Linked DNA regions of Rhinolophus ferrumequinum. The protein of the gene in region 1 purifies or fractionates together with the protein of each later gene. This does not show direct contact. Links are inferred from orthologs where the notes say so. Each region holds a gene or a part of one and is shown in the gene's direction. Other genes may lie near its edges.

What was found.
Region 2: the proteins of GSK3A (region 1) and GSKIP purify together in Homo sapiens (affinity purification with mass spectrometry; 7 studies listed by BioGRID and IntAct, with this or other methods). This does not show direct contact. The link is inferred for Rhinolophus ferrumequinum from reciprocal best matches to the Homo sapiens genes GSK3A and GSKIP.
Region 3: the proteins of GSK3A (region 1) and AXIN1 purify together in Homo sapiens (affinity purification with mass spectrometry; 12 studies listed by BioGRID and IntAct, with this or other methods). This does not show direct contact. The link is inferred for Rhinolophus ferrumequinum from reciprocal best matches to the Homo sapiens genes GSK3A and AXIN1.
Region 4: the proteins of GSK3A (region 1) and FRAT1 purify together in Homo sapiens (affinity purification with mass spectrometry; 4 studies listed by BioGRID and IntAct, with this or other methods). This does not show direct contact. The link is inferred for Rhinolophus ferrumequinum from reciprocal best matches to the Homo sapiens genes GSK3A and FRAT1.

What each region holds. Positions count from the first base shown.
Region 1 is NC_046298.1:40,146,754-40,153,948, reverse strand, and holds the start of GSK3A (glycogen synthase kinase-3 alpha), read left to right. Parts: upstream 1-4,111; 5' UTR 4,112-4,708; coding exon 4,709-4,991; intron 4,992-6,676; coding exon 6,677-6,864; intron 6,865-7,195. UniProt on the Homo sapiens protein: Constitutively active protein kinase that acts as a negative regulator in the hormonal control of glucose homeostasis, Wnt signaling and regulation of transcription factors and microtubules, by phosphorylating and inactivating glycogen synthase (GYS1 or GYS2), CTNNB1/beta-catenin, APC and AXIN1.
Region 2 is NC_046289.1:7,261,984-7,269,174, reverse strand, and holds the start of GSKIP (GSK3B-interacting protein), read left to right. Parts: upstream 1-4,058; 5' UTR 4,059-4,129; intron 4,130-4,172; exon of another isoform or gene 4,173-4,472; intron 4,473-7,191. Other genes in the region: ATG2B (autophagy-related protein 2 homolog B), read right to left, coding at 3,339-3,500. UniProt on the Homo sapiens protein: A-kinase anchoring protein for GSK3B and PKA that regulates or facilitates their kinase activity towards their targets.
Region 3 is NW_022680357.1:2,360,749-2,368,504, reverse strand, and holds the start of AXIN1 (axin-1), read left to right. Parts: upstream 1-4,458; 5' UTR 4,459-4,762; intron 4,763-7,756. UniProt on the Homo sapiens protein: Component of the beta-catenin destruction complex required for regulating CTNNB1 levels through phosphorylation and ubiquitination, and modulating Wnt-signaling.
Region 4 is NC_046299.1:26,429,805-26,437,884, reverse strand, and holds the start of FRAT1 (proto-oncogene FRAT1), read left to right. Parts: upstream 1-5,066; 5' UTR 5,067-5,285; coding exon 5,286-6,119; 3' UTR 6,120-8,080. UniProt on the Homo sapiens protein: Positively regulates the Wnt signaling pathway by stabilizing beta-catenin through the association with GSK-3. May play a role in tumor progression and collaborate with PIM1 and MYC in lymphomagenesis.

The sequences.
Region 1 (7,195 bases):
GTGGTGGGGGGGCGGGAGGGGGTTGTGAAGGGGGCCACCTCCACTCTGGGGAATTTATATTTGAACTGAGGCTTTGGCCTCGAAGCCCAGGAACTTTTTTATTACAATCGCTTAGGAAGTAAAGCCTTGTCTCCCTCCCTATTCTCTGCCTCCTGTACCTCTCCCTGTCCACCTCCAGCCATCCTCAGCCCCAATCCAGCCTTCCCTGCCCCTCCAGGGGCCATGAGTGCCTGGGTTTCTCACCCCACAGGGTTGCAACAGGGGAGGGAGGGACATTTTATGATGAACCAAAAATTCTGTGTTGAGGGGTGGGGGGTAGAGGAGGGTGAGGGGTGCCACCCATAGGCCACAAATCTCTACAAGTGCCTGCTATCCCTCTCCTACTCCCCACCCCAGAACCGGTCCAACCCCTTTACCCCCAGCTGCTCCTAGGACCAGCCCGTAGGTAGGCAGGGGTGGGAAGGGGGTACCCTGAATCCAAACTGGAAGACCCTCTGCCTCTTGGCTGGGGCCCCTGGGGTGGGGTCTGTGGTTAAGCCTTATTCTGTACTGGGGACTGAGGGTGGGGGGCGGAGGGAAGTTGGGGGCTGCTGGAGAATGTATTCAAAACAATAAAACTTTGGACCTTTGGGTGGAATGATCTGTCTCATCAAGGGACCATAGCCTGTGTTGGATTCTGAAGGACTGGGGCCTGGACTGACTCCCCAGTGAATCTATGGCCAGAGGGCCTAACCCCATCTGAATGTGTGGTTTCAGGGAAGTGACCTCCTGAAGGGGGGGTGGGGGTGGGAGGTACATACCTCCAGGGCTCAATGATTTAGGTCTCAGGCATACTCCAGTCATCATCTGATTGCTTCCCTATCCCATGGGGCGACTTGTCCTTGGAAGCATTTAGACTCCACCTATTGCCTGAAATGACTTTTCCCTCTGGCTCTGAATTCCTCCCCATGTCCCCAGGCTCTGGAGAAGGCTTGGAGCTCCTTTTGCATTACCTCTAGTGTCCTCTCACACATCACTCTCCTTAGAGCACTTAGTCTGGGAGTCCTTTGGGGACAGGCCTGCAGTCTCTTGGAATGTACACCTTGCAAGGGACCTTGGTGATCTTCCTGTGGAACCATGGGAACATCCTCCACCAGCAAGTTGAGATGGGGACTAGCTTAATCAAAGTCGCTGTTGATTGACCTACTGTATACCAAGTACCTAGTTAGGAGCTGCAGTTATTTATCTCCAACATCCAGCAGGGCAAGTGACTCAGTTAATGTCCAAGGTCCTAAGCCCAACCAGGACTAAATGAAGTCTGTGTTCTTTCGACTCCTGAGTTTTCCTCCTAAAGCTAGGATGGTTGGATCTAGACCAGGGTCTCAAAATCATAGGATCTGAGAAGTGAGCTCATCAAGCTAGAAGCTCAGGTTGGGGAGCTCGAATCAGGGATCAACGAGTCAGGAGGAATCCAGGCTTGGAAGTGCTGTTCCAGACAGCTCAGCCACTACCGTGCAGGTGAGGTGCCTGAGGCCCAGAGGCGGGAAGGAGTTTCCCTGAGGCCACACAGCTGCTAAGAGAGTGGGAATTGAGGGCTCAGGGCCTGTTGGACTGGCTTCACTGTGAAACCCCACCCTGTGCGACTCGGGGAAGGAACTGGTAGCTCCTCCCCACTCGCTTCATCCTCATTTCATGCCAGCCAAGGATGGCTGGTCCCAGATTATGTTGGCAGTGAAGAGAGGATCCAGGGCTGGGGTATTAGCAGGAAACCGAGGCTCCCATGGCAGCCTGCGGGCAACTGCTCCCTCTCCTGGGTGATGTAAGTCACTCCCTGGGGTGGGGGCCACTGGGCTATTTCTGGAAGTTGGGATGAGGCATGTCTCCTGGCAACATAGATGCAGCTGAATTGGTGGTGGTGGTGTGATGGAGAAGGGGATGTCATCACGGGGGAGGGGGGAGGACGCTGACTAGTAGTCTCATCTTCTGATTTCAGTACCTTCGAAGCACCTCTAACCAGGTCTAACATGGATTCAAAAGTGCTCAGCTCTAGAACTGCTCAGGTCAGACCAGGTCCAGTCAGACTGGTTGCCCCCAATTCTGGCTGAGCGGGATGTTAGAGGTGGCATCGGGTCTTGAAACCTCCAGCAGCTCCTCTAACCTTTAACGATCCACCTAAATCTGTTCGCAGTTTCTGCAAGACCACACCCTTGCTCCTTACCGCATCCTCCAGGATCTCTGATTCCAAGCAGAAATCCCTTTATAGATCCACGACACTTCATCAATTAATTCACCCCATCAGAGGTCCTTTTATCTATAACACCCAGCACTCACACTGACCCCCAAAGCTCCTTCCTGATGCTTCTCAACCATCCCTTACCCCTTCAGGCACCTCAGAGATCCCCTCAGTCACCAGTAGTTTCTCAGTCTCCCAGAGACCGTTTAAAAACACCCCAAATCCCCTCTGACTTCTCCCCTGGTCCCCAGTAAGAGGCCTTCACTTCTCCAAGGTACCTCTGAGTACCTCCAGACACCCAAAAGCTCCTCAAAGACACAACCCGCCCTGGCACCCCTCAACAAATGTTCTCAAGCCCTATAAATATCCTGGTAAGACTCCCTCCGACTGTTGCCTTCATACTCCCACTGATCCCAATACCCTTGTGGCGGTTGCCTACGCGCGGCCCACTGCGCATGTCCCACGGGTCCAGGCCGTTAAGTAACCGCCACTATCCTGCCCTTCTCCGCTGCCCTTCTGGGCCTTCTTGGTCCAGTGTAGGGTTGACTTCTCAGGGCTTTGGGTCTTGACTCAGATTTTTGCTTTCCGACTCCGAGCTGCCGTCAGAGGGCAGCAGGTACCGTTTGGCTGGGAAACTACAACTCCCAGAAACACCCGCTCCGTGCTGTGTGTGACGCAACCGCATTCATTGAAGGAATAGAAGTGTGTCCGCGCTTTGCCTCTGGTTAATGTAGTCCGAAAGGCCTTTAACGCTACCGTCTGTCCCGGCCCCGGGAGTGGTGGTGGTGGTGTCTGTGCCCATTGGGAATTGTAGTCAGGACTGGACAAAGTGGACGAGACTTTCTTTAGACTTCTGAAGGGTCAGGACAGTTAGCACCAACACTGGATCGGATTAAAGTGAAGTCCAGAGACTCCATTTCCCATCATTCCATGAGGCAGGAGGGGCTGAGGTGATTTCATTCTTGTTCCAAGTATTTCCGGGACACACACGCAAACGCACACGAACTCTGTTTCCCAGCTCCCTTTGGTGCTACCGTCCTTCCGGGTATTAAATCGATAAATGGGGCGACATAAAGCGTGCACAAAACCTAAGGGTACTCTTAGCACCCAACTTCCTCTTTTGGATCCTCCAGGATCCTATAATTTAGGAAGTGGAAAGACGCAAAAAGCTAAGTGGGGGTTCAGGACAAATTGTATTTTTTAACGCTCGGCTCAGCCTCTGGGTGCAAATCACAAAACTAGAAAAAGCTAGATTGTATCCTAAGACTATTGTTCTGAGAAACTGCAGGTAACTGTTTCCTAAGTCGTTTGCACGGGGGTTTTCCTTCCTGTTTTGTGGAAACTTAGAACTTAGAAGGAGTGTTTGGACTCCACTTTCCAGCAGCTCCTAATCGACTTAGGCTCTTTCTTGGGACCTGGAGATGGGGAAGGAGGCGTTGAAACACTCTTCAGTCTCCATAGGAAACTGCCGACTTTCACCTTTCGCTCAGGCTTTCCCGAAGGTACCCACCAATTGGACTCCACTTCCCCGTCAGCGTAGGCAGTCTAGTCTCAAAGTGTCAGGATCCGGTCTGGACTATTCCCCAGCATGCTTCGGGCTCATAGTAGATCCCTCCCCCTCAGTCAATGGGAGACTGCCTGGAACTCCATTTCCCAGAAGACACAAGGGCTCGCTGTAGCAACTGCTCTGAAGCCGTGGTGCTGACTACATTTCCCGGCAGGAACTGCGGCCTAGCGTGCGAGGGAGGAGGAGCGCTATATCTACTCCATTTCCCAGTCTATCTCCGGAACTGCAGTATCCACTTGGGACTTAGGGAATCACATGGGACTCCATTTCCCGGCGTGCTTTGGGAGTCGCTTTACACCTGCAATGCGGTGAGGGCGTGGCGACGACTCCATTTCCCGGCTTGCCTCACTGTCCGAGATCTGCTGGTCCGAGATCTGCGGGTCCTCCTGCGCCGACTCAATTTCCCAAAGTACACCTGGTGCTGGTGGACATACACAGCTAATAGACTTAGTGACCGACTGGACTCCGTTTCCCGGCGTGCATGAGGCCGCTCACCGAGTGGCTGCGACTACATTTCTGAGGTACACTGAACGGTGAGAGGCTCACCGTTGCCGCATTGGAGGAAGTGTGCGACTCTGACTTGGCCTCCCAAAGTGCTTCTGGGTCCGCCGTGGGCACAGTGGATCGATTTATTGCCCAGGACCCTATTTCTCGACGGGCAGCGCGACCCATCATCTCCACGGTCTATTCTGAAGCCTTTGCGGACTCCACTTCCCGGCGTGCCACGCGGCTCTCTCTGGGCCGAGGGCGGTGACGGAGGCGCGGAGGGCAGGCGGACTGCATCTCCCGGTGTGCCCCGCGGCGGGCGCTGGGCCGGAGCCGGAGCCCGAGCGGCGCGGCCTGGAAGAGGCCGGAGGCCGGGGAAGGCGGCGGCAGCGGCGGCAGCTCGGGCAGCCCGAGCCCCGCGGCCTGGGCCTGCGCTCGGTGCCATGAGCGGCGGCGCGCCTTCAGGGGGTGGCCCTGGGGGCTCGGGCCGGGCGCGGACCAGCTCGTTCGCGGAGCCAGGAGGCGGCGGCGGCGGCGGCGGTGGCGGCCCCGGGGGCTCGGCCTCCGGCCCGGGCGGCAGCGGCGGCGGGAAGGCGTCAGTCGGAGCCATGGGTGGGGGCGTGGGGGCCTCAAGCTCCGGGGGTGGCCCCAGCGGCAGTGGCGGAGGAGGCAGCGGCGGTCCCAGCGCGGGCACCAGCTTCCCGCCGCCGGGAGTGAAGCTGGGCCGTGAGTACTAGGGGCGCCCGTGGTGGGTGGAGATGAGGGTTCCTGAAGCCCCTCAATCGTAGATCAGGTTCTTTTATGTGCCCAGATAGGAGCTCGAGGTCATTGTGCCTCCCAAAACTGGGATCTGAGCTCTACTCCTCCCAAAGAAGGATTTGGGGGGTTACCATCACTTGCAGTTTAAGATTAGAATTAGTTACCGTAGAAAAACCAGGGGTCACAGGTTCCTGTTATTCTAGTATCAAGGTCTTGGGTCCTTGAGGCTTCAAAACAGGGATCTGACGTTGCCATCCATTAGAGAACAGGATCAGGGGTCATCGTCACTTACGAATGAAGCTCAAGGGTTATTGTTCCCGAAGAGAACAAGAATAAAAACACCACCACCCGAAAAGGGGCTCTGAATTTGTTCCCCTTCAAAGGATGGGATTTGGAGTGAATATTGTTTAGAAGCAGGTATTTGGAGTTACTGTGTCCCCAAAGATCAGGGCTAGGGCTTTCCAAACCTGGTACCTAGGTCATCTTCCCTTTTAAAACACAAAGTTTGGTATCATTACCTGTTCATAATATGTAGAATTGTTCCCCCAATGGTAGAAATTAATGGTTGCTGCTTTTTAGAAATAAGGACAGAGTGGGAGTCAGTATCTCCATCAGATCAAGTCACGGTCCCTGTTCTTAAAACATGGCTTGGTGGGTCTCCTTTCACAAAAATGGAATGAGGGCAGGAGAGAGTCACAATTCCCCATAGAATATGGATCTGGTTATACCCCTTTCGTTATTCTGAGGTGTGTCATTGGCTCTGGAAAAAGACCTACGTAGAATCACCTCTGACAAAAGAAGGTGTCAACTGGTCCCTCAACATGGATTTGATTCATCAATGACCCCTTTTCTTTGGGGAACCTTTCCTCACTTTCCCAAAGAAAAGGGGTCCCTGTCCCCAAAGAATGCTACCAAAGTTTGCTGCCATTCAGAAACCAGAACTGGGAATTACAGCTTTTCTTTGAAGGATGGAAGCTGGGCTAGCCCCTTGGTTATAGAGATCAGGTTCACCAGTCTCACAATTTGGTGCTTGTCCATTAGGGTCCACCCTCATGCTGGAAGGGGTCTGGGGCTCTGGGCTGTACAGGTGAGGTCAGGTCAATGCCTTCTCTAATCCCAAAGTATTTGGATTAGGGCTAACTGTCCCCAAAAAGTGAGAATCAGGGCACTAGCACGCTCATGCCAGGAGGAGTCATTCATTCCTGTCACCAAAAACCACTGGTGAAGTTACCAGCTCCACCAGGGAGTGTGTAGAGGTCACTCTGCCCTGAGCTGTGAGGAAGGTTAGTGCTTTTCTAAAGTAGAAGTACCTCAGGATTACCACTTGAGTGGAAGAGGTTAGGTCAAGGCTTTCCCCAGTCAGGAGGGCCCAGAGGGCAGTAAACTTCAGAGTGGATTGGGAGTGTCGGTGTCTCCTTAGACCAAAAGGACCCAGTGGTTTGCTGCTTACTAGAAATGGAGATGAAAGGTCTGCAAGAGGTTTAGATGTCAGTATCCTGGGGGAGGGTACTGGGAGGAGAGGGGAAAGGAAAAAGGGACAGAGAGGCCCCAGAAAGCTACCTGTAGTGATTCCCCTCCCTCCCACAGCCCCAGGAGGGGATGGTGGCAAGAGGGGAAAGGTCAGTGGGTTTTGTGTCCCCTTTGTTCCCCAGGTGACAGCGGCAAAGTGACCACAGTGGTAGCCACTCTAGGCCAAGGCCCGGATCGCTCCCAGGAGGTGGCTTACACAGACATCAAAGTGATTGGCAATGGCTCATTTGGGGTCGTGTACCAGGCACGGCTGGCAGAGACGAGGGAACTGGTAGCCATCAAGAAGGTTCTTCAAGACAAGAGGTTTAAGGTAGCTTGGGGGGCGCGGCACGGGTGAGGACATGGAGGCTTGACTGGGCATGACTGGTGAGAGAGCCCCAGAAGCACTGGCCTTAGGGTTCTACAGAGGATCTTAGCATGGGCCCGAGGAGAAGGGAGAGAAGAGAGTGAGTTGTGTGGAAGATGGGAATATAGATTCCAGCAGAGCCCAGAGCTGACATTTATTGGGCTTTTCCTCTTTGTAAGGGCTTTGCAGGTGAGTTTTTGTTTAATTTACATAAAGGTTCGCTGAAGGTAGATACTATTGTTATTCCCATTTCAAGTAAGCAGAAGCTGGAAACTGAGACTCAGATAAGAGAATT
Region 2 (7,191 bases), on another chromosome or scaffold:
CTCGTATATCCCAGAGAGTATAACCGATAATCCACAGGGATGTGAGTAGAAAATTAGACATTCTGTATTAAAATTTTCATTTTTCGATTTAAAAGTTGTACTAATATTTAATTTACAAATGGGCACTGACGCCTTCACTCAGACCATACATCAGACCCGTACAAAGAGAAGATGAGTAGTTCCACACTGGGAAGAGTTAAGAGTGGTGTCCTCAGCTGGATTTTCCTTTTCAGCACACTGAAACTTACTTCTGCATAATAAAAACAGACCTTAAAGCAGTTGAGTCTTTGCAAAGAGACAGAAAGTAACAGTAACTTTCTGATTTCCTGGGTTTTCTTATGGCCAAATATTTAAGAGTTGAATTTAAATATGAAAAGCAATTTTCTTCCACACCAAGATTAGAGTGCTAAATATGCCGACCATTCATGTGATGACAGATGGATATTGGTAGTACATGCTACCAACCAGATGTATTCCAAAAAGCTAAACATACTTTATCTTTTCAAAGTAAAGATGTCACTTTAATAATGAGTGAGAAAGTAACTAACTGCTTTTCAAAGGATACTTGTACTATGGGGGGAACAGTTGTGAAAAATTGTATTTGGAAATGTTTCCATTGTTACATGATTCTGTTGCTGAAATAATGTCTATTAAAAACACTGTCTCTTTTTTTAAGTCATTATCTACACAGTTATAAAAGATTCGAAAACATGGAAAATTATCCCAATGAATCTAAGTCTGCTGAACAGTTTTTAAAAATGGATTTTAAAGTTAATTTTTTATATATAAAAAATGCAACACCTTCCAATTAATTAATTAGCAAGCACAACTGATTAAGATCAAGGAAGACGGCAATGTCACAGCCAATTTCAACATAATCCCGTGCATAATTGATGGCTGAGAACTGAAACATTAGTGATGTTGCCAATGATGTAATTCTTCCACTTGGATCCAAGAATCTGTGAGGTATCTTTGTTTCAGGAATGAAAGTCATTAAAATCAAGTGTCAAAAGTAACTGAATTTGAACCAGAAGTTTGAATAGCTAAGTGTCACATCAAGATTTATCTTAGTCGCCAACACAGCACACTATAGTCAATAAATAAATAAACAGCAACAGCAAATATTTACTGGATGCTTTATTTGACATTATCATTTTGGCTGGGAATAGCCCCGGCCTTCAAGGAGCAGAACAAAACAATCTTCAGATTAAATCGAGCCCTAAATTATTCTGCCATCAATCCTGGTCAAACTGTAAAATTCGAATATTACCAACTGATTTCCATGAGGATTAAGCAAAACCACACAAATGAGAGTGCCTAGCACAGTGCCTTAAATAAATAGATGCTCAGTAAGCATCCACGGTCCTTTCCTTGAAGACACGATTAATTAAAAAATAATAATAATAGTCGGCTTAGTAATTAGACAGGTTTGAATTGTCACTGTACTGTTTGCTGGCCATGTCGCTTTGGAGAAATTATTTAACTCCCTCTGTAAAATGGAAATCATATCACCCACCTCATAGAGTTAATATGAAAAGTCATAAAGGATAATCTGTACAAAGTCAATCGACCCACAAAAGGCAGTTAATACACGGCCCAATCCTCCTCCTTCAAGATAGTCTATTCAAAACTGTACCACAAGGGGCCAGCCCATCTGGCTCAGGTGGTTAGAGTACAAGCTCTTAACAACAAGGTTGCAGGTTCAATTCCCCCATGGGATGGTGGGCTGCGCCCCCTGCAACTAAGACTGAAAACAGGGACTGGACTTGGAGCTGAGCTGCGCCCTCCACAACCAGATTGAAGGACAACGACTTGGACCTGATGGGCCCTGGAAAAACACACTGTTCGCCAATATTCCCCAAGTGAAAAAAAAAAGCTGTACCAAAAGTATAGACTCATGGGTCAATGAATTTAAAAATATCTATCACAAACCCTATCTTCTGGCAAGAGTTACAGCAATACAGGACCCTGACACACTGCCTGGCATGGAGTGGACACTCCATTAATGTTTACTGAGCTTAGATGTGTTACTATATCCAATATCAATTGGCTAACTGTGGTAGCCTGGGTTAGCCAGGTGTGGCATTGGGTCTTTCTGCTACTCAGACCAGGGCTCTTTCTACTTTACTATGTGCTCTCCCCAGCGTAAATCATCGATTTACTGATAAAATTGTATGTTTATTCATGCTAGAGCCAATTAATTTAAGGGTCATAATAAGGTGTTACCATAACCTGAGCATTTCAAGGTTCTATGACTCAGGAAGTCATTACTCTGTTAAAATACTTTTACATAAAAGGTAAAAAACACACACTTTTTACAAAGCTTAAATGAGGAGGAAAACAAGTTTCCCTTTGTTTACACAACTCTCCTAAGAAACTTACCTATATCTATGATTTCCTAAGTGGAAAGTGTGTTGGAGTGTTTTTAGAATAGTAAAACTCCAGAATGGGACAACATATTCAAACTGTAAACAGCAAACTCGAGTGCAATAAACGAAGGGTTGGGGGAGGAGAAAAGCCACTCCATTCTTGTCAAACTCAAGGCTTAACACACTTTCAGTAAAATACTGTATGCACTGAACACACAAATGCCGGTACAACTGTATGTGGTGCATTGAAATATACACGAAGCACCTGTAAGACACGATGAGTCAACCCACAGCCCCTGGATGACAAGTGGAAAACAGGAGTTTAAATGTCTGCCAATTGCAGCTTCGGTGCTTTTACAACACCTGCGTTTACGATCCGTCACGTGAAACACACAGCGTAACTAAACAGCACGGCCAGGGCCACGCAACCATTCACAGGCTGGCCTTGTCACACCGCGAGGGGCCAAAGAAGGCACATGGGCAGAGGCGGCCTTCACCTGTTTCTTCCAGATGGCGAATGCGGGAGGCAGACCGCGGTGCGCAAGCAGCCAACCCAAAACACACCCAGGAACCAGCAGGCGTTCCGACACTGCCAGGGGTCCGCCTCATCCTTCACCTCGCGGAGTGTCCTCCCACGAAACCGGGTGTTGGCCACGGAGCCCCGCGACCCCTCCTACCCGAGGGGGCAGCCCTTGGTCCCCGCGCTCCACAGGCCCCCTCACCGACCCCAGGCGCTGCCTCCGTGCACTGATTGCCAGCGTAGACTCCACTACCTCTGCTAAGTTTCTGGAACACGTGATTTGGGGGCGCAAACTTGCTAGGAACAGATTAAACAAGACTGGAACACACTTCTCTGAGCCCTGCCACTCCCAGAGAGGGGCTGAACGTCACACATTTGGGGTGACACTCGTTCAAATCGCCCTAAGGAGGGCAGCGAGTCCCGCCCGGGGGGCCGCCGGCAGCTCTTACCCATTTGTCCAAGGGGACCTGGGCGAGGGACCCGGTGCCCTGATACAGGTCCAGGCTGAGCTGCTCCAGGCTCAGCTTCTCCTGCAGGAAATGGCCCAGGTACCTCTGCAGGAGGTACCGACAGGCCCTCTTCTTGATGGACTCTGAAAACGGCCAAGGCATGTTGAGGGCCGGCGAGGGCTGCGGGCGGCGGCGGCTCCGGCCTCCCGGCCCAGGCCCCGGTTCCAGGCCGCTGCGGCGGCGGCAAGGGCACTGGCCGGCGTCCCCAGGCCGCGGAGGGGCCTAAGCCCGGGGTGGCCCCTCCATCCCTTCCCGGCACCAGGCGTCCCTCAGGACGACCCCATCTCCTGCGCCGCGCCGCTCGCTCTAGGCCTGGCGGGGACACGGGGCGGAGGAGTCGCGGGCGCCCCAGGCCCGGGGTCTTCCGGAGGGGTCCTCGTCCGCACGGAGAGAGGGTGCAGGAGAGCGCGCGGCGAGGCGACCGGGCCTGAGGCAGGGGCTGAGGCAGACACCTCCACCGCCGCCGCGAGACGAATTTGTTGTCATCCGCAGGCGCGCTCCCGACTCTGGGGACGCTCCGGCGCGTTCGCGAGCCCCGGACTCCCCGCGCGCGGCCTGCGCTGGCGGAAGTGACGCCACACTGGGGCTGCAGGAGGCGGGAGAAGGGCCCGGAAGCGAGCGGTTCCGGCTCCGAGGGGGCGGGGCGAGGGCGGGGAAGAGAGGAGGCGGCGCCGCAGGTCGGTTTGCGACGCCCTGGGAGGGAAGAGCAGGAGGAAGCCGGGAGCGCGCAGGTGAGCGTCCGCGGGGCCGGCTGTGGGCGGGCGAGCGGGAGGGCTGGCGGCGGCCGGAGGGCGTCAGGGAGGGCGGGCGAGGGGTCCTCCGGGCGGGACCCGGCGCAGCGGGCCGGGCCAGGAGGAGCGGCAGCAGAAGGGGCCCGGTGTGGGGCTGAGTTGGGTGCAGGGGCGGGTCCGGCCTGGGCCGCCCCGGTCACCCCAGACCCAGACCCCGGAACCCGGCGCTGGGAGCGCCGCCGGCTCCACGGGGAGGGCTGCGGCCGCTCTCTCGCCTCCCGCCGCCCCCGAGTGTTGACCGGTGCCTATTGTCAGCAAGTTGTTCGTCACCCGCCTCATTCAGGTATTGTTTCCAAAGCTTCATCTTCGTTACTGTTGGGCGGCTGGCTGCTTCCCGAGCGCTTTCTTCCTCCTGCTGTGCTGCGCCGGCGACCAGGAAACTTGAGTTTTCGAGGCATTTGTGGGCAGAACTGCCTCCTGTAATTAATGCTAACGCCTCCCGTCCCCTCAGAAACCTGGGCGAAGTGCTTGTGCTTTTCTGGGAATCTGCGCCATCGTATTTCTCTGCCTTTGGGGAGGCAACTCCTGCAGAGGCGAGGCTGGCTGGCTCTTAACTTAGTCAACCACGAAAGGTGTTTGCTGGCCTGGAAGCCAGATGTCCTGGGTTACAGTCCTGATACGGCCACTTATTAGCCCAGCCACCTTGATCCGGCCACTGCTCTCTCTAAACCTTTGCCAAGTGTGAGCGTATTAATAGCTAACCTCCCGGGCTTGTTATGAAAATTAAACGGTATGAGTGGGGAAGGAACCTAAGCAGAGTCTTGATTCATATAGTTCAATTAAGGATAGTAAAGTAAGACGGCCTGTTTAAGGAGATTTTGTGTATATGTTGATAACTCGTGAATGCCTTAGAAACACTAACACAGCCCCAAACTACTGTCAGGTGGAGAAAGGTTTGGTTCCCCTTTCCACACCACCTTTTCATGTTGGAACCAGTGTGCTCGCCAGTGTACATATGTAGGTGCTTGGATTGTTGGTACCCCTCATTTGTAGCCCTGTCCCAAGCATTCTCAGTTACTTCAATTTCCTTGCTCTTCATTCAGCAATATTTGTTAAGGGTCCATTAAACGAAAGTCTCTGCAACTGGTAAGGTTTACGTAACAGGTAAAGAAGAATCAGGCAAAACCTTCAAGGAGCTTATGTTCTCGAGTGAAAGGTCTGTTCCTTTAATCAGTAAATATTTATTGATTGCCTGCCTGAGCCAGGGACTATTCTAAGTGCTGGGGATATAGCAGTGAACTAATTAAGGCCCTGCCCTCCCGAAGTTTACATTTTGTTGAAGGCAAGGGAAACTAACAGTAATCGCATAAATCATATGCCATCTGGTGATATGGGCCGTAGGAAAAAAAAATGAAGCACTGGAGAGGAAAGAGATTTGTCACTTTTATATAAAGGAGTAAGCGAAGGTCTCCCTTATTTAATAAGGTGACATTTTAGCAGAGACTTGGAGAAAGCTGGGGAGCAAGGCACGTGAATACGTGGAATAGTTGTTTTCCAAGCAGGAGGAACAGCAAGTGTGAGGCTCTATGGCAAAAGCATGCTTGGTGGGGTCAAGGACCATCAGAAAGGGGTGCAGGGAATAGTAGAGGGGTCAGGTCATAGAGGGCATTGTAGGCAATGATAACAACTTGGGCTTTTACTCTGGGTGAAGGAGTTTGAGGAGAGGTGACATAATCTGGCCTGTTTTAACAGGATCGTGCTAACCGCTGTGTTGAAATAGACTTGTGTGGGATGGGAGAACCAAAGGAGAAAAGAAAACCGGTTAGAAGGACATTGCAATAATCTAGACAAAAGATGACAGTGGCTTGAGTTAGAGTGGTAGCAGTGATGATGGTAAGAAGCAGTTGGATTCTGGATATAGAGGGTGCCAAAAACATGTATACACGTTTTAAGAAAGGAAAAAGCTATTAAAATTGTGACAATATATACCGGTAACAAAAAATGAATACAAGTCCTATGTATACATGTTTTTGGCACCCCCACTATTTTGAAGATAGGAAGCCATGTCTGTGAATATAATGATAACACTTGCCATAGCGAGAATAGAAACAAAGATGGGATCTCATCTGGCAGAGAATTAGACTAGGTTTGGGAGGTTTGAACTGGACTTTTGAGGAATGGGTGCAACTGACTTCTTTCAGGTTTATATGTTTTGTTTTGGAATGTAAAATTACAAGTACATTCAGGCTGTTCATAGAATGCCTGAAATTTCAAATATAAGAAAAATATAAAAATTGGAAACTTTTATAACAGACGTACTCTCTTTAAAGTTAGGTGTGTTGCCTTGTACATTATGCTTTCTAGGAGAAACTCAGCATAAATGTTAAGGTGTAGGACCTGTTGTCATCATACCTTTCGCTCAAATAGGGTACAAACTCAGCCTAAATCACAATGCTATTTTTGTGTTTTATCAAAGTACTATCACAAAATGTTAACAACTAGCATTAATTGAGGAAGATGGAGATAATCCCTGACCATTGTCAACTTCTAATGAGTTCTATAAAAGGATACCGAATGGGTCATTCTTCAGAATAATCCATGTTAACATGTGAAATAGAAGAAAAGCCGATGGGACGTCATTGGCCTTTTTTAAAAACTTGCACCTGATGTAACAGGAACATGATGTTCGGGCTCCCACATCGCGTGGCTCTTGGAGTTATACAAGGCAGCAGCTACAGCCATCCTACATAATGTAAAGAATCAAACGGCTGGAGTTTCGAGGTCAGCTCTTTTTTCTTTAAAGATATTTTTAAATATTTTTAGTGTATAATAATTGACGGATAATATTTCTTGAGCTTACCATGTGCCCAGCGCCACACGAAGCCCTTCCTAGATGTTCACTCGTTTAGTTCTCTCAGTATCCGTTTAAGGTAGATGCCATTGTTGGCTTCATCTTAGAGAGGAGGAATGTGTGACGGAAATTAAAATATCTTGCCTGGAGTTGCAGCAGAGTAACTAAGAAGCAGGACTGAGATTCTAGCCCCATCATTTTGCTCAAGAGC
Region 3 (7,756 bases), on another chromosome or scaffold:
GTGGACACAGCTGACACTGGAACCAGCTTGTTTGAGGCAAAGCCCCTGTTCCTGTACCCCTAACTCCCTATCTTGGTGTGGGGGCCAGCATCACTCCTGGGGAGTCTGCCTCGGGCATTTTCAGCGGAAGGGCTGGTGAGAAAACTCCACACAGCAAGAGGGATGCAAAGTGCCAGCGTGGACAACACACCTGCCCACCGGTGTGAAGGGAGCGAGGAGCTAAACACAGGAGAAAAGAGGCTCGGGGACCCCAGCCCGGAGTCAGCCCAGGAAGCTCAAGGCAGCACCTTCTCGCTGGTCCTGGGACCTGACTTGGGGCAACTGCAGCAGTCACAGGATGATCTGCCACCCTGCCCACTACTGCCCAATGGGTCATCTCTGTCCCTTCCTACAGGGTCCTCACCCCTGCTGGTCTTGCTCTGACCACTGATTGCAAGGTGGTGCCTGCTGCAGAACTTTGTGGTTTCCATGTGATCGTAATAGTGATTTCACACAGAACTTCTTCCTGAGTGTATATGGAAGAGAATGGACTCCATTCCTAATTCTGCTCTCCAGCCATAACCTGGTATCAATGCCCTGGGATAGTTCTTGAGTCCTCTTGCCTTTCTTTGCACACGTTCTATAGTCATAAAAATGGGTACCCTCTGTGTGTGGGCTCTTAGCTTCTCTCCTTGGTGTTACATCTTGACACCTTGGTGCAATGGCTCCATGTCCTCTGTTGGGCCCAGACAACACCTGGTCCTCCCTGCTGAGCTCAAAACTGATGGAAAAGCACACACCCAGGGAGGAGAGATGGAGCCCGGGGCTGGGCTGGTGGTCAGGAAGGTGGCTGGCCAGTGTGGCTGGGGCTTCTCCTCCAAAGGGAAGTCCATTCCTCTCCCCTCAGAACTGGAAGAGCCAAGGCTCTCTACCTGCCTGCTCATCCCCACCCCCTCACCTGGGGACTGGGCAAAGCGGGCAGGAAATGGAGTGCCTGGAGGGGGCTCATTCTGAGTCTCCCGTCTTCCTCTGGAAGCCTGAATCAATACGCTTCCTCCTGTCCTTTCGTCCCAGGAGGAGGATGGGGACCTTCACAGTGTCCCATCTCTGCAGCTAGTCCTCTGCTGCCAGTTTTCACCCTCCTGCATCGGTCCATGCCCCAAATGCCTCAACATACCTTCTTGGTGCATCTGGGTGATGACTTTGGAACCCTTTTTAGAAGCTGTCTTCCTCAGCCAAGTGCACGAACACCTGTAAGGCTTCAAAGCTCACTTTATTTCACAGTATTCCCTGTCTGTCTAAATCGCAGAAAATAATGTCATTTCTACTCCTAAGTGTTTCGTGTAGTTCCTGGAAAGCCTGAAAAAATGTCATCTTCAGTTAATCAAATCAAAGCCTCTAGTGGCAAACTTCTGCTCCCAGGGAAGGGGGGTTCATTTTAGCGGACCTCTGGAAGGCAAAGGGGGTGCTCCGCCATGGAGTTCAGCTGTTCAGAAGTGAGGCTCCTGCAGTTGTGTCTCCTCTCAGCTCTGGGTGGCTGATGCAGTCCCCCTGCCAGGTCATCACTGCTCCATTGCAGGTCCCAGGGCTGCCCTCCCTACCTCCCTCGTTCAGAGTTTTCCCAGAGCTTCCTCCCCTGATCTGCCCCCATGCCCACCCAGCTCAGACAATCTCCTGTCCGTGCCCACAGCCATAACCCACCATAGAGGGCTGTTGAATTTCCTCCAGGCTTTCTGACTCCCTTCCTGTTCCTGCAGGGCGGGGGCCCCGAGGAGCCGGAGGCCCGAGGACCCTGTTCTGGTACCAGGGCCTGGGGACACCTGCCACCATGGGCCAGGAGGAGGATAGACATGGACACAACCCCAGGAGCCTGGCCTGGCCGCAGCAACAGCTCTGCAGAACCAAGGCAAGCGTTGGGGGCCCCTTTCTGGGAGAGGGGTGGCAGCCTGAAGGCCAATGTCCAGGCCACCCAGGACTCCCAAACCCCACAGAGACTCTGCTGTGCCATGAAGGCCACCCACTCTGTCTCCTCTAAGCCTCTGAAGCTAAACAGGGGAGGGGAAGGGCTGCAGGGGCATCTCCTGTGCCCAGCACTCTGGGGCCTGGGGCCATCCGCCATCCTGGCTGGACTGAGATGAGTGTGACACCTGCCTCCAGGACCCTAGTGGGGCCAGTGTGGGTTCAGAAGTGCAATTTCTGTGGTGTGCTGTCTTCACCTACAGCCCCAACCCCTGCCTAGCCTGACCCTAGGTATGGTGACCCTAGGAGGTGGCCTGGGCCCTTGGCAGGCTGAGATGCTTCTAGTGGCCCTTATCTCTCACTGTTCCCCTTTCCTACAAAATCCTGGGCACTGGGTGCTATGCTGAGCCCTGGGAGAGGCTGGTACCACTGGTGGGCTCCTGGGTGGGACGTTGGCTGGTGGGTCAAAGAAAGCCCAAGCTGGGACTTCTAGCCCTGCCTGGGAGCCATGTAGGATGAGGGTGGGCAGCAAGGGTGAGCAGTGTACGGGAGATGTGACATTAGAGGTGACCTGGGGGGCTTCCAGGGGCAGCATGGTGGACACATGAAGTGGGCAACTGACCAGACACACCCAGAGGAGGGTGGCATGGTGGAGACACCAGCAGAGAAGGGCCCTGAAAGACTGTGGATACCAGAGAGCAGGCTGCTGGGGAAGGTGTGGATGGATGAGGTGTTGGGGAGCCCTGGGATAGGAGGCGGTGGAGCAGGTTTCTATGGGCCTCAGTGGTAGCTTCCTTGTCTGTAGAATGGGGGCATGGCTGTCCCTTAGGGGCTGCCAGAAGCATTTCTCCAGGTGCCAGGCCCAGCAATGCTGTGCAGAGGATAGAGTCCTGGGTGGTTGTGACTGGTGGCAGAAGCAATTCTTTAGGGACATTAATCAATTCCTGGTATTGACAATCCTTCCCTTGGGGAGGGGTTGGTGGTGGGCTTGCAACAGAGTTGGCCAGCTATGCTTGCAGGTCAGGCAAGGGCTGCCTCGTGACAGTGAGGGGGATAAAAGGTGGTAGGTGCAGGGATCGGGTCACCTAAAAGCTCTTGCTCTCAGGACGGTGTGGGCATGTGGGACTCACAGTCATTGGTGGGAAAGGGAGCCCTTGTCCAGACCCTGGATGGTGCCTGGGAGAAATGGAGGCAGGTGGGCCCAGCCTGGGTAGGGCCTCAGCCAGTCGCAGCCCACAGCTCTTTAGAGGTTGGGGCTCCTGCCATATTTGTTGGATGCCTCCTGCCTACTGTGTGCCCTGGCCCTGTCTGAGTCCAGACTGCCTGGGCACTCAGGGAGGGTGTAGCCCCAGACCACCTTTTCAGGGTCCTGGCCAGCTGGGGAGCAGTGGGCAGGGAGAAGGGGGAGACAGGCTAAATATCACCAGGGGCTCAGTTCCTGGTCAGCCTACCTCTGCCTTCCAAAGTGCCCAACTCCTGGACGTCTGCTTCTTTCAGTGTCCTGGGAAGTTGGTGGCCATCCTGCTGCGGGTCTTCCTGTCCAGGGCCAGCCAGCCCCTAGATCTGCAGTCCCTCTGGGCACCTTGCCCACCCGGGCGCGGGCCGGGCCTGTGGGTGCCGACCTCGGAAGCCCTAAGCTGGTGGACACCAGCGTGGGCAGCAGAAAAGGGCGGCAACAGGGCATGCACCCAGCGGTGTCCACCACATTGGGGGACGGTCGTCCACTTGGCGCACTGGTCCAAGCCTCCTTGGTGACTACAGTTCTTCAGGGACCCTCGCGGGGGCGTCTCCCCGACGCCACTACCCTGGACTCCACAGTCCAGAGGGACATGCGCAGTTTCCCAACGCCCCCTCCCGAGTCCCCTCAAGACAGCGTCCTTGCTCCACTCCCCGCTCACGGCCCCGTCATATTAGCATATATAACCCCGCCCACTCCCATTCCGGCTCCGCCTCACGTTCCAGGTCGGCCTGGACGCTTTTGGCCCCGCCTCAAAACTCAGGGCCCACCCCTACGCCCAGGCCCCGCCTCCACGTCCTAGGCTCCGCTCCCACGTTGGAGGCTCCACCCCCATGCTCTTAGCCCTTCCAGGCGCTTCGGGTCCCTCTTGCATTCTCGGCCCGGGTCCCACACTCTCGGCCCCGCCCCGCGCCCTCGGCCCCTCCCCCACGCTCTCGACCTCGACCATGTGCTCTAGCCCCGCCTCCACGTCCCAGGCCTCAAACCCACGTTCGAGGTCCTACCCGATGCTCTTCGCCTTATCGGTGCGCTCCGGCTCCGTCTTGCGCTCTCGGCCCGGCTCCCGCTCTCGGCCCGGCTCCCACCCTCGGCCCCGCCCTCACGATTTCGGCCTCTCCCCCACGTTCTCGGCCAACCCCAAGTCCCGGTCCCGCCCCACGCTGTCGGCCCTTCCCTCGCTCGGGGCTCCGCCCCACGTCCTGGCCCCGCCCCAAGCCCCGGCCCCGCCCCCGCACTTCCGGGCGGCGCCGGCGGGGGCGCTCCGGCCTGGGCTTCGGCGCTCTGGGCTCCGGCTCCCCGCTCGGGGAAGCGATCGCGGCCGCCGCCGCAGGACCGGCCGGAGTTGGGCCGGAGCCGCGTCCCCGCGGAGCAGGCCGGTGAGAGCGGGCGGCCGGCCTCGGCGGCGCCCTCGCGGCCTGCCTGCGCCCGCCTCCGGGCCGCCGCGCCGCCGCCGCGATGGGGGCCGCCCCGGGCCGCGCCCCCGCCCCGTCCTGCCCGTCGCCCCGCCGCTGAGCGCATGGGCCGTGCCGCGCCGCGCCGCTCCGGGAGTCGGGCCCGGGGCCCTGCCACCGCTGCCGCCGCGCGCGGGTGAGTAGTGCGGGCAGAGCGCGCATTCCTGAGGGGCGCGGGCCAGTCCGTCCGCCCATTGTAGGCCGCGTAGGCCGGACCGGGCGGGCTGGGCGCGGGACCCGGAAGAGGGGCTCGGCGGGTGCGGGCTGGGAGCGTGTGAAGGGAGGCTGTGCGGACCGAGGGCGGGTGAGGGGAGGCCGTGCGGGCCCCGAGTGTGTGAGGGGAGGCGTGCAGGAGTGCATGGAGGCTGTGCAGACCGCGGTGATAGGCGAGGAAGATGCGTGGGGACCGAGGCTGTGAGAGCAGGTGTGTCAGACGGGGGTGCTAGCAGGGGATGTGGAAGGCGAGGGCCAGTGACATTGGGATGAAGAGTGCCGGGTTTGGTTCAGAAAGGGCAGACTCTTGCTCTAGGTGAAGACCTAGGATTCTGAGAAGCGGTTGGGGGGGTCCTCCTCGAGGGGTCTGGGGTGTGCAGCTGGTTGGTGTGTTGGATGGCATGGTGCTGCGTGCGTGCGGTGGTTTGTGAGCCTTGGGCATGTTTCAGGGTGTGGGTGGGGTGCAAAGGAGCTGCTGGGGCCAGACATTGTGTGCAGGGGTTCTAGAGAGAGGCTGGGTAGTGGCGCGTCCTGTTCTGCTATTCCCAGCAAAAAGTAGGACTGAAGGAGCCTGAAACCCAAGGAAGGTGCCTGAGACTGGGCCCCGGCTGTCTGGCTTCTCTGAATGGCTGTCATCTTCCAGGGTGATGCTTTGTCCCCCAAACTATCTCTTGGGTATGGGTCTTCAATTCTACGTTCACACCACCTTTTGGAATTCAGCCCCCCACGAAACCAGAGCTGTATGACCAGGACAGTGAAACTTTTAGCATAGAGGACAGTGGAGAGAAAAATAATTCTCTGGGGATTTTTCTCAGCTCACCTCTCAGATAATTCATAAAAAGTTCTTACTGTGCAGCTCGGCCCCTCTTTTTTGCTCACACGTATGTTCTCTGCTTCTTTAGGGCGAATCTCAGGCAGACTGGGACCCACAGGCCCTGTTTTGGAGAACACACAGTCTAAACCTGACCTCTCAAGATAGTCAGCAGCGTCAGGGTTTCGCTTTTAAGAACTTCTGTTCGGGAACAAAGATGAGAAAGCATATAAAATACAGTAGTGTTTCCTGTTTGCTTTTCAGCAGGTGTTGGTGTTTCTTGGATTCCTAGTTTCAGAAAAGCTAAGTGGATTTTGGGGATTTACATGGGTCATTAAGAATTTAAGTCACGGGGGAATGGTTTATATGCAAAACTGTAGCCCTTAGCCCTTCAAGAGTTTAATTGCTGACGCTTCCACACTCCACATAAATCAAAAGTTATATTTGAGTCAAATAAATATATACACATCTATAGCATTGAGCTGGCTGCCGTGGTACCCAGGGGTTATGTCTTGGCAGTGACTAAAGGAGACTTTAAATGTGGTATCAGTTGTATGGATTCCTTTTATGGAACCCTTTTATTGATGGTGGTTACACGCTATTGGCCAGATTCAGTGCTTGTGGGCATTTGACTCTGACCTGAATTAATGTAACTGCTTTATGTGTGATTTGTGTGTGTGTGTACACTAAATGTTTGATGTACTTCTCTGTGGAAACCCGGAGCTTGCGGGAATCGGAGCACATTTCAATAACGTCAGTGATCTGGGAAGTTTGTTCATGTGCTTCCAGAGACACCAAAGGTCTTCTGTCAGTGGACAGCCAAAAACAGATATGATTTATAAGGAATGTTTTTTCTGAGCAATGAAAAATCATTTAAAATGATTAGAGGGACTGGTTCACACGTGAATTAAAATGTAAGTCTTAAGACAGCCGCAGTTTGGTCATAAAGGGCTAGATCTTGAATTGACTGCTCTTTGTATGGCACAGTAGTTCAGCATCTGTAGCAAGTGTCATTTTCCTTTATGTCAAGGAATTAAATATTTATTAGTGCCCGTTAGTCGCCAGACCTTGTGCCAGGTGCTGTGGGTCCTGCAGAAAATGTTTAAATCAGGCTGCCACAAATAATTGACAAAGACGTCATAAAGCACCTTAAGAGAAAGTGACAGTGATTCATAATGAGCCTGTCGTTCTAACACAGTGACTTGGTTCTTTCTCAAGGCTGATTAACTGCAGAGTATCTCTAAGGATCCGGCTCCGGGGGCCGGGTACAGGCCCTCTGGTATCCGGGACAAGAGGACATGAGACATTCACAAGCTGGGGTGGGGCTGAGACATCACAGGTACTCATTCCATGTTGATGGTGCTCCAAGAAAGTGACTTTGCAGTCGGAGTGGTCCATGAGCAGCAGGGCGCCACAGCCCACCATCCTTGACCTTAAGAAACAGGCTGTTCCTGCTGAGGCTGAGATTACAGCCTACCCAGTAGTTTTCATAAGAAGTCATTAGCCGCAGAAATGTCACTGGGTGCACGTAATTGTGACCCAGCCTCCATCTCTGGAAGCTTCTCACTTCTAGCCATCAGGAGCTGCTGGCAGGTGAAGTTGGACGCCGAGTGAGAATGCAGATGTGGCGGGGGATTCCTCATAGGCCAGGCCCCAGAGTGTGGCGTGGTGGCCAGGGAGAGCCCCCCTTTGTGTTAGTACTTTATTTTGCTTCCTCCGGCTTGTTCAGTGCTCCAGGCACTTTGGACCTGACATGCTTGTCTCCGGCCCACTTCTGGGCACACCACTTCCCTCGTGGCAGGCTGTGTTGCAGTCACCCCCTTGGCCAGGTTGGGAGGCATCGCCCAAGCTTGTGGGCTCCGTGCGCGCCTGTTGGAAGTGGCAGGGAGGCCCTGAGACCATGGGCGTCTGGTCCAGGCCAGTCCCCCCTCACACCCAACGCAGGCTTGTAGCAGCAGCAGCAGCAACAAAGCCGATGGTTCCGTGACCCCTAAGCGGGTGGGCAATTTGGTTTTCAGCTTACGGAGTTAAATCCTGTGAGCTGTATGCTTCCTTAGCTAAAAGGTATAATTGCGTTGGATTTCATTTTTTTTCCCCCATCCCTTC
Region 4 (8,080 bases), on another chromosome or scaffold:
GTTCTCTATACAAATCCCTCCTCCCCAACCAGCCCAGCCCTTGGAGCATCTCTATCTGGAAGCTGGGAGGCAATGAAGTGATCAGGAAAAAGGGGCAAGCCGTGTCTGCCTTGCTGCTCTGGAGGCCCATCACTCAGGGATGCTGCTAGCCTCTGAAAGTGTCCAGCTTCTGGGGAGGACGGGTAGCTCAGTTAGTTAGAGCGCGAGCCCTGAACAACAGGGTTGCTGGTTCGATTCCCGATTGGGCCAGTGAGCTGTGCCCTCCACAACTAGATTAAAGGACAACGACCTGGTGCTGATGGGCCCTGGAGAAGCACACTGTTCCCCAATATTCCCCCAATAAAATTTATTTAAAAAAATAAAAAATAAAAGTGTCGGGCCGGCCCGGTGGCTCAGGCGGTTGGAGCGTGTCCTCTCAACCACAAGGTTGCCGGTTCGACTCCCGCAGGGGATGGTAGGCTGCGTCCCCTGCAACTAGCAACGGCAACTGGACCTGGAGCTGAGCTGCGCCCTCCACAACTAAGATTGAAAGGACAACTTGACTTGGAAAAAAGTCCTGGAAGTACATACTGTTCCCCAATAAAAGTCCTGTTAAAAAATAAATAAATAAATAAAAGTGTAAAAAATAAATAAATAAATAAAAGTGGCAAGCTTCATTCCAGCCGTACAGTTTGAAATTCTCCAGTGGGCAAGACTTCAGTCAGCCCACAGCAGATTGTCTCCAGTTTTCCAACACTGGAGTATGAGTCCACACAATTCCCCGGCCAACCTGCCAGCAGGGGTATGTACATTTCCTCCCTTCCTTCACAATAGTCAGCCCTAAGCCCTCCATGCCCTGGGCAGTTCTAAATGAAGTCACAAAATGAATCACTCCTTTCCTGTGGCTTATTTTTTTTCTAAAATTTTATTCTGAATTTCAAACAGTCAACAAAAATGAAAGAATTTGACAGTGAACTATTACCCAGCACCTAGATGCTATCATTAACATATTTTAGATTTAAAAATTGAGATATCCTTCACATAACATTAAATTCACTTTAAAGTGAATTTTAAAGTGCACACTTTTGAAATGTACACTTCAGTGGTTTTTAGTATATTCACTCTGTTGTGTAAATATCACCACTATCTAATTCTAGAACATTTTCATCACCCCAAAAGAAACTCATTAAGTTAGTCCTAATTCCCCTCTCCTCCTATCCCCTAGCAACTACTAATTTATTTTCTGTTTCTACTCTGGAAATTTTATATATGTGGAATTATACAATATGTGGCCTTTTGTGTTTGGTTCCTTTCACTTAGCATAATGTCTTCAAGGTACATCCATGCTATAGCATGTACCAGTATTTCATTTCTTTTTTATAGTGAATAATATTCCATTGTATGAATATACCACATTTTATTCAACCACTCATTAGCTAGTGAATATTTGAGTTGTTCTACATGTTGGCTATTGTGAATAATGTTGCTATGAATCTTTATGTACAAATTTTTTTTTTCAGATTTTTTTTTTATTGGGGAAGGAGAACAGGACTTTATTGGGGAACAGTGTGTACTTCCAGGACTTTTCTTTTTTTTCCAAGTCAAGTTGTCCTTTCAATCTTAGTTGTGCAGGGTGCCATTCAGCTTCAAGTTGTTGTCCTTTCAGTCTTAGTTGTGAAGGACTCAGCTCCAGGGCCAGATGCCGTTGCTAGTTGCAGGAGGCGCAGCCCACCATCCCTTGCGGGAGTCGAACTGGCAACCTTGTGGTTGAGAGGACGTGCTCCAACCAACTGAGCCATCTGAGAGCTCAGTGGCAGCTCAGCTCTAGGTGCCATGTTCAATCTTTAGTTGCAGGCGGCAGAGCCCACCATCCCTTGCGGGACTCGAGGAATTGAACCAGCAACCTTGTGGTTGAGAGCCCACTGGCCCATGTGGGAATCGAACCGGCAGCCTTCAGAGTTAGGAGCACGGAGCTCTAACCGCCTCGCCTGAGCCACCAGGCCGGCCCCAATGTACAAATTTTTGTGTTAACGTATGTTTTCAATTCTCTCAGATATATACCTAGGAATGGAATCGCTAGGTCATACAGTAACATTAACATTTTACTATACACGCTTTATCATACCTGTCTATTCATGTATTAACTCATCTCACATATTTGTATGCTTGGGAATAAATTTCAAACATCAGTACACCTCACCCCTAGACTCATCAGCATGTCTATTAACCAGGATTCAATATTTGTTTATAGTTTTTTCTTCTTTTCATGTAAAATTTGCATACATAAATTCTAAGTTATAATTCAATGAGTTTTAGCACATGCATACACCTGTGCAACCCAAGTGAAGCTATCAAGATATAGAACATTACCACCACTCTTAAAGTTCCCTCAGGCCTCTTCTGACTCAGTCCTTGCCCCACCCCACCCTCTCCAAAGGCAATCAATCTTCTGATTTATTTTCCCTACCATAAATTAATTTTTCCTGTTCTGGAACATCATATAAACAGAATCATATGGTATGTGATCTTTTGTCTCTGGCTTCCTTCACTTAGAGTACTGTTTTGCATATTATTGCATATAGCAATACTTCCGTCCTTTTTGTTGCTAAAGCATATTCTGTTATCATCTTATGAATGTGCCATAGTTTATCCATTCACCTGTTGATAAACACTTGAGCTGTTTCCAGTTTATAGCTTTTATGAATAAAGCTTCTATGATTGTCTGCCTGTAGGCCTTGATGCAGATATATGTTTTTATTTCTTAGGTAAATATCTAGGATTGGAACTGTATCATAGGATAAGTGTACATTTAGTTTTGTAAGAAACTGCCAGGTCTTTTCCCAAAGTGGTTGTACCATTTTTCATACCCACACGATATATGAAACTTACAGATTTTGAACCAGAGATTAAAAATACAAATTGTAAACTGCTACCAATTGTTTTCGTATTAAATTTTTAAATAACTAGGCTCAGAATATTCTACCTAATAAATGGCTACTTGACCACACTCTCAAATGAACACTGATTTACAATAAGGGGATGACCCTTTCATGATTGAAAAAAACAAAACAAAAACAAAAACATGACAGAAAAAACAAAACACAACATTTCTTCTTTTAAGAAATGAAGTCTTGGTTAATCATTAAGCCAATCATGATATCTTAAAGGGTTTAGCTGGATCATCTCTCCATTTCCATCCAAACAGCTCACCATTTTCCTCTCCTGAAACCCTCTCAGAGAGGACACTCCTCTACTTGGCTGAGGCACTCTTCTTAAAAGAACTTTCTAGCTCAGAGCTCTTCCCAAGACTAGCAACCTCCTCCTCGCCAGTAACACCAGCCCCAATCCAAGAATAGAAGGTAATGTCCTCAAGCTAGTAAAGCCCATCTATGAAAACCCCATAATATACTTAATGATGAAAGACTGAAAGCTTTTCTCTAAGGTGAGGAATAGGACATGAATGTCTGCCCTCACCGCTTGTATTCAACACTTTTCTAGAGATTCTAGCTTGAGCAACTAGGCAAGAAAAATAAAAGGCATCCAGATTAGAAAGTAAGAAGTAAAACCACCTCTATTTGCAGATGACATGAACTTACATATAGAAAATCGTAAGGAATCCACTAAAATGAGGTGATAAATTTTATGGCACTCTGTAGAAGTCTGGATTTCCAAGATTTAATTTCCAAGATTTCCAAAAATTCAATGGCTTTCTTCAAACTGCCTCTTCCTTCATTCTCATATTCTTCTCCCCATACATGACAAAAATAAGCCCAACTCTTTTTTTTTTTTAACAACTTCCCACCTGTTCTCTCCATCTCATCCCTCCCTACAGTTTTGCTCCTGTAATTATCATCTTTGGACCTGCCCACTAAGACCCTTTTTTCTACTTCTCTGGATCCCCAGGCTCCAGTCTCTTCCTCTTGCACTCTCTTCTAAATTATGCTACTCTCCTGCTCAGTATTTTAAAGCAGTTTCCTAGTACCTGGCTTCTGTGTTTGTGTGTGCATACTTTGTGGCTAATTTTTAAAACAACTTTATTGAAATATAATTTAAATATAAAATTCACTCAGTTTTGGTGAACATTCAATGATTTTTAGTAAAATTGAGGGGTCCAACCATTACTATAATCCAGTTTTGAATATTTTCAAAACTTCTATCACCCTGCTAATCTCTCCCCTGAATGGCTTGTAAAGGCTGGTCCACTAAGTCTACCTACAGGTGAGTTTGGAAGTTAGGCCTGAGGGGTTTGGGATTCTGAATAAACATCTAAAACCTCCAAACAACATAACAGTAAATGATTGATTTTTCTGTCCCTCCTTTTAAGAAATGAAGTCTTGGTTAATCATTAAGCCAATCATGATATCTTAAAGGGTTAAGCTGGATCATCTCTCCATTTCCATCCAAACAGCTCACCATTTTCCTCTCCTGCAACCCTCTCAGACAGGATTCTCCTCTACTTGGCTGAGGCACTCTTCTTAAAAGAACTTTCTAGCTCAGAGCTCTTCCCAAGACTAGCAACCTCCTCCTCGCCAGTAACGCCAGCCCCAATCCAAGACCCCACATACCCATTGCTCCTAATCAAGAAACATTAATCTGTGGCTTTTCTTTGCCAATTCCAAGTCTGCCACCTCCATCGAAGCACAGGGTCCCCATTTCCCCAATCTCCAGACAAATCCCTAGCCTGACTCCGTCACCTCTCCACCCTCCTCTCACTCGCCGGGTCATCACTTACCAGACTCTAGAACCTGGGATCTCAAAAGCGCAAAAGCCAAAACCAGACGAATTGACGCGCTCAGAGGAGGGGAGTGTGTGGGCGTGTGAGTGAAAGTGTCTGTGCTTGTGTGTGGAAGAAACCAACAGAGTCCACGCCGGTGCTCATCTTCTGTAAATGCCAAACACTCCCGCCTGAGAAGGCGAAGATCAGCTACCCAGTGAGTCCACGCAGACAGTATTCAGGTTTGTGGAGCTCTAGGGAGCAAGGCTTCAGCCTGGACCCCCGCCCAGGGGAACCCCCGTCCCCCTCAACCGCACTGCGCACCCCCACACCCTCGCGGTGGTAGGGCCCAGCGGCAACGTCACCCATTGTTTACAAATCAACCAGAGCCGGTAGGATTCCGGCTCCCGCGGCTGCAGCGCACCGCACGAGTGCCTGCGGGTCTCTGGCTTCCGCGTCCGCCCCGCCCCCGGCCCCAGCCCGGGCCCCGGCCCCGGCCCGGTTTTCGGCTTCATCGCCGCGCCAGGCTCCGCCGCGATCCACAGAGCCGCCAGCGACGTCTGGAGAGCTCCGGGTGCTCGGGTGGGGTGCCATGCCTTGCCGGAGGGAAGAGGAAGAGGAAGCCGGCGAGGATGCGGAGGGGGAGGAAGAGGGCAGCTTTCTCCTACTGGAGCAGTCGGTGACGCTGGGCGGCTCGGGCGAGGTGGACCGGCTGGTGGCCCAGATCGGCGAGACGCTGCAGCTGGACGCGACGCAGGACAGTCCGGCCTCCCCGTGCGCGCCCCCCGGGCCGCCGGTGCAGCCCCCGCAGCCTCCGGCGGCGGTGCGGACAGACAAGGTCGGGCTTCCCGGGCTGCCGCTGCTTCTGCCGACCGCGCCAGCCGGGGCGGTGGGCCCGGCGCCCCTGGGGGCCCTGCGCTGCGTCCTCGGGGACCGCGGCCGCGTGCGGGGCCGGTCTGCGCCCTACTTTGTGGCGGAGCTCGCCGCAGGCCCTAGCGCCCTGTCCCCACTGCCTCCTCAGCCCAACTTAGATGGGCATTCGGGAGCCAACAAGAGGAGCGCCCCCCAGCCGCTGTCGGGTCCGTGCCGGCGAGGATGGCTGCGGGGCGCCGCTGCCTCCCGCCGCCTGCAGCAGCGACGCGGGCCCCAGCCGGAAGTCCGCACCGGCGACGACGACCCACACCGGCTCTTGCAACAGCTCGTGCTCTCCGGGAATCTCATCAAAGAGGCGGTTCGAAGGCTTCATTCGCGACGGCTGCAGTTACATGCAAAGCTTCCCCAAAACCCGCTCCTGAGGCCTTTGACAGCCCCGGTGCACAAGCCACCGTCGCCCCGCAGCCCTCGCGCGGCCTGCAGCAACTCTGGCGCGACAGGGAGGAGGGCGCAGCTCCGAACTGGCGACAGCGTTCTTGTCCCCGGCAGCTAATATCCCGGGAGTGGCCACAGCGCCAGCCTCTGGAGGGCAAGGGGTTCCCCTGAGAGGTACATCTCTACTCAGACTGGTGAACTCGCGCTTTTGGAAGCGGGAAAGTAATGAAGACGATGAATCGAAAAATCGCGAGTGTTTTCGTGGGAAACTGAGGTCAAGGGCTCTGATGTTGAAAAACAGGATTTGGCCCTATTGAAGAAAGCGTATCCCAAGCTCACAATCAATAGGACACCTTATTATGTATGACCATGTTGGAGGCACAGCTTGCAGTTCCACGGCCCGGCAACCATAGTGCCACAGTCCACGCTTCTCAGGATCGCAGAGTGCACGCGCGACGAGGATGATCCGTTACTTGCTTTGCTTTTTCAAGGCTGGTCCTTGATCCACTTTTGGGGGAGGTGAACATGAATAGACGATCGTTTCGTAGTACCTCAATCTGCCAGACTAGAAAACTTAACACACACAAAAAAACCATCTCGTGTCTTTTAGGGTGCTGGTTCTTAAAACACCTGGTACCGTGAAGGGACGTTTTGGGAGTTAAATAGAAGTAACCTTTCTCTGCCCCCGCTTTGCAACTGGCTGCGGTTCTCCGAGTGGTAGGGGAAAGCAGAAGCAGTGCGCCCCGGGTGGGGATGGGAGGCCGGGTCGGGTGGTGCTGGGGAAAGGATAGGGTGAGGCGCGGAGGGAACCCTTGGTCCTCTCGAAAGTATTTTTACAGCTGGCCCGCCTCTTCGCGAGTTCAAGGTCACTGTTTCCTGGGCGCACATGGGGTTGTGGGGCTCCAGCAAGACAGAAAAGTAGCCGGGTTCTGCCTGTACTCGGAAAAGAGCGCAGTGTTTTTTGCAAGTTCTGGAGTCTCCTGAGGACATGCGCACCGCCGCCACCGTGGGTGCAGGGAGGCAGGGACGTGCTGGGCGCCGGTGCCTCCTGAGGGCGGCCGCGCCCCTGGCTTTCACAGAAGCTCTGGAGACGTGGCCTCCGGTCCTTCCTCTCCCCCTCGGCCCTGCTGTCCTACTCAAAAGCGTAGTGCTGGTGCTCCTGGGGGCCCGGGCTGGGGAGAAGCCACGTGACGGGCACTCCAGGAAGAAACAGCCTCGCATAGCAGCTTATAATGGGCTCTCCGGGGCCATTTGCAATAACAGCTGCAATTCCCTGGATAGATGGAGTTGATTTCCTCCCTCTGCCCCTCCCCCAGCCATACCAGCTTGCCTTTGTAAGTGAAAGAAACCGAGTAGAAAATGTGGCCCTCCAAATGCAGAAGCTGCAGGCTGTGCCATTGTGAACCGCCAAGTGCTTGTAACATACTGTTCACTCACTCTGAGGGATTTAAGACCGTTTAGTTGGTGTTTTAGTTTTATAAGATTCAATGGCTTATTCATCATCCAGATGTGGCTATTGACATATCTACACTTCGCACCGGAGTGTCTGGAATTGTGGCTATCCTGATTATAGGATTTTAACTTAACTGAAATATGTTTTTTTAAAATAAATGTGTTGTGTTTCTTGTTTGGTTTTATTTTATACTTGCTGTCGGAGGGAAACATGCACAGAACATATTTCTCTGATCTCTATAAACATGAAAACGCTTGAAATCCTTGTCGACCTAGCTTGCAGATGGTAATTAGAGCGCCTTTGTGTCTGAGCGGCTCACTGGTTAGACAGGGTCTGCACGGCTGGGTGTGTATTGGTGCTGGCATGAAATGAAATGAAAGTGAGGTCAGGATTTGGATCAATCCCATTCACCAAAACCTTAGATAGAGCTTTTGAATTACTCGTCAGTGATGGAGATGTTTTATGAAGATGGCTCTGAATGTTTTAGCAAAGAACATCAGATCAACCAGTCACTGCAGACTGGGAGGCTAATCACTTTTTTTTTCTTTCTATTGTGGTCATTAAGTGGACTTTTTCCACAAGGTGGCTGTAAGGCTGAGCGGCTCGTGGTTAGGGGTTGCTCAGGA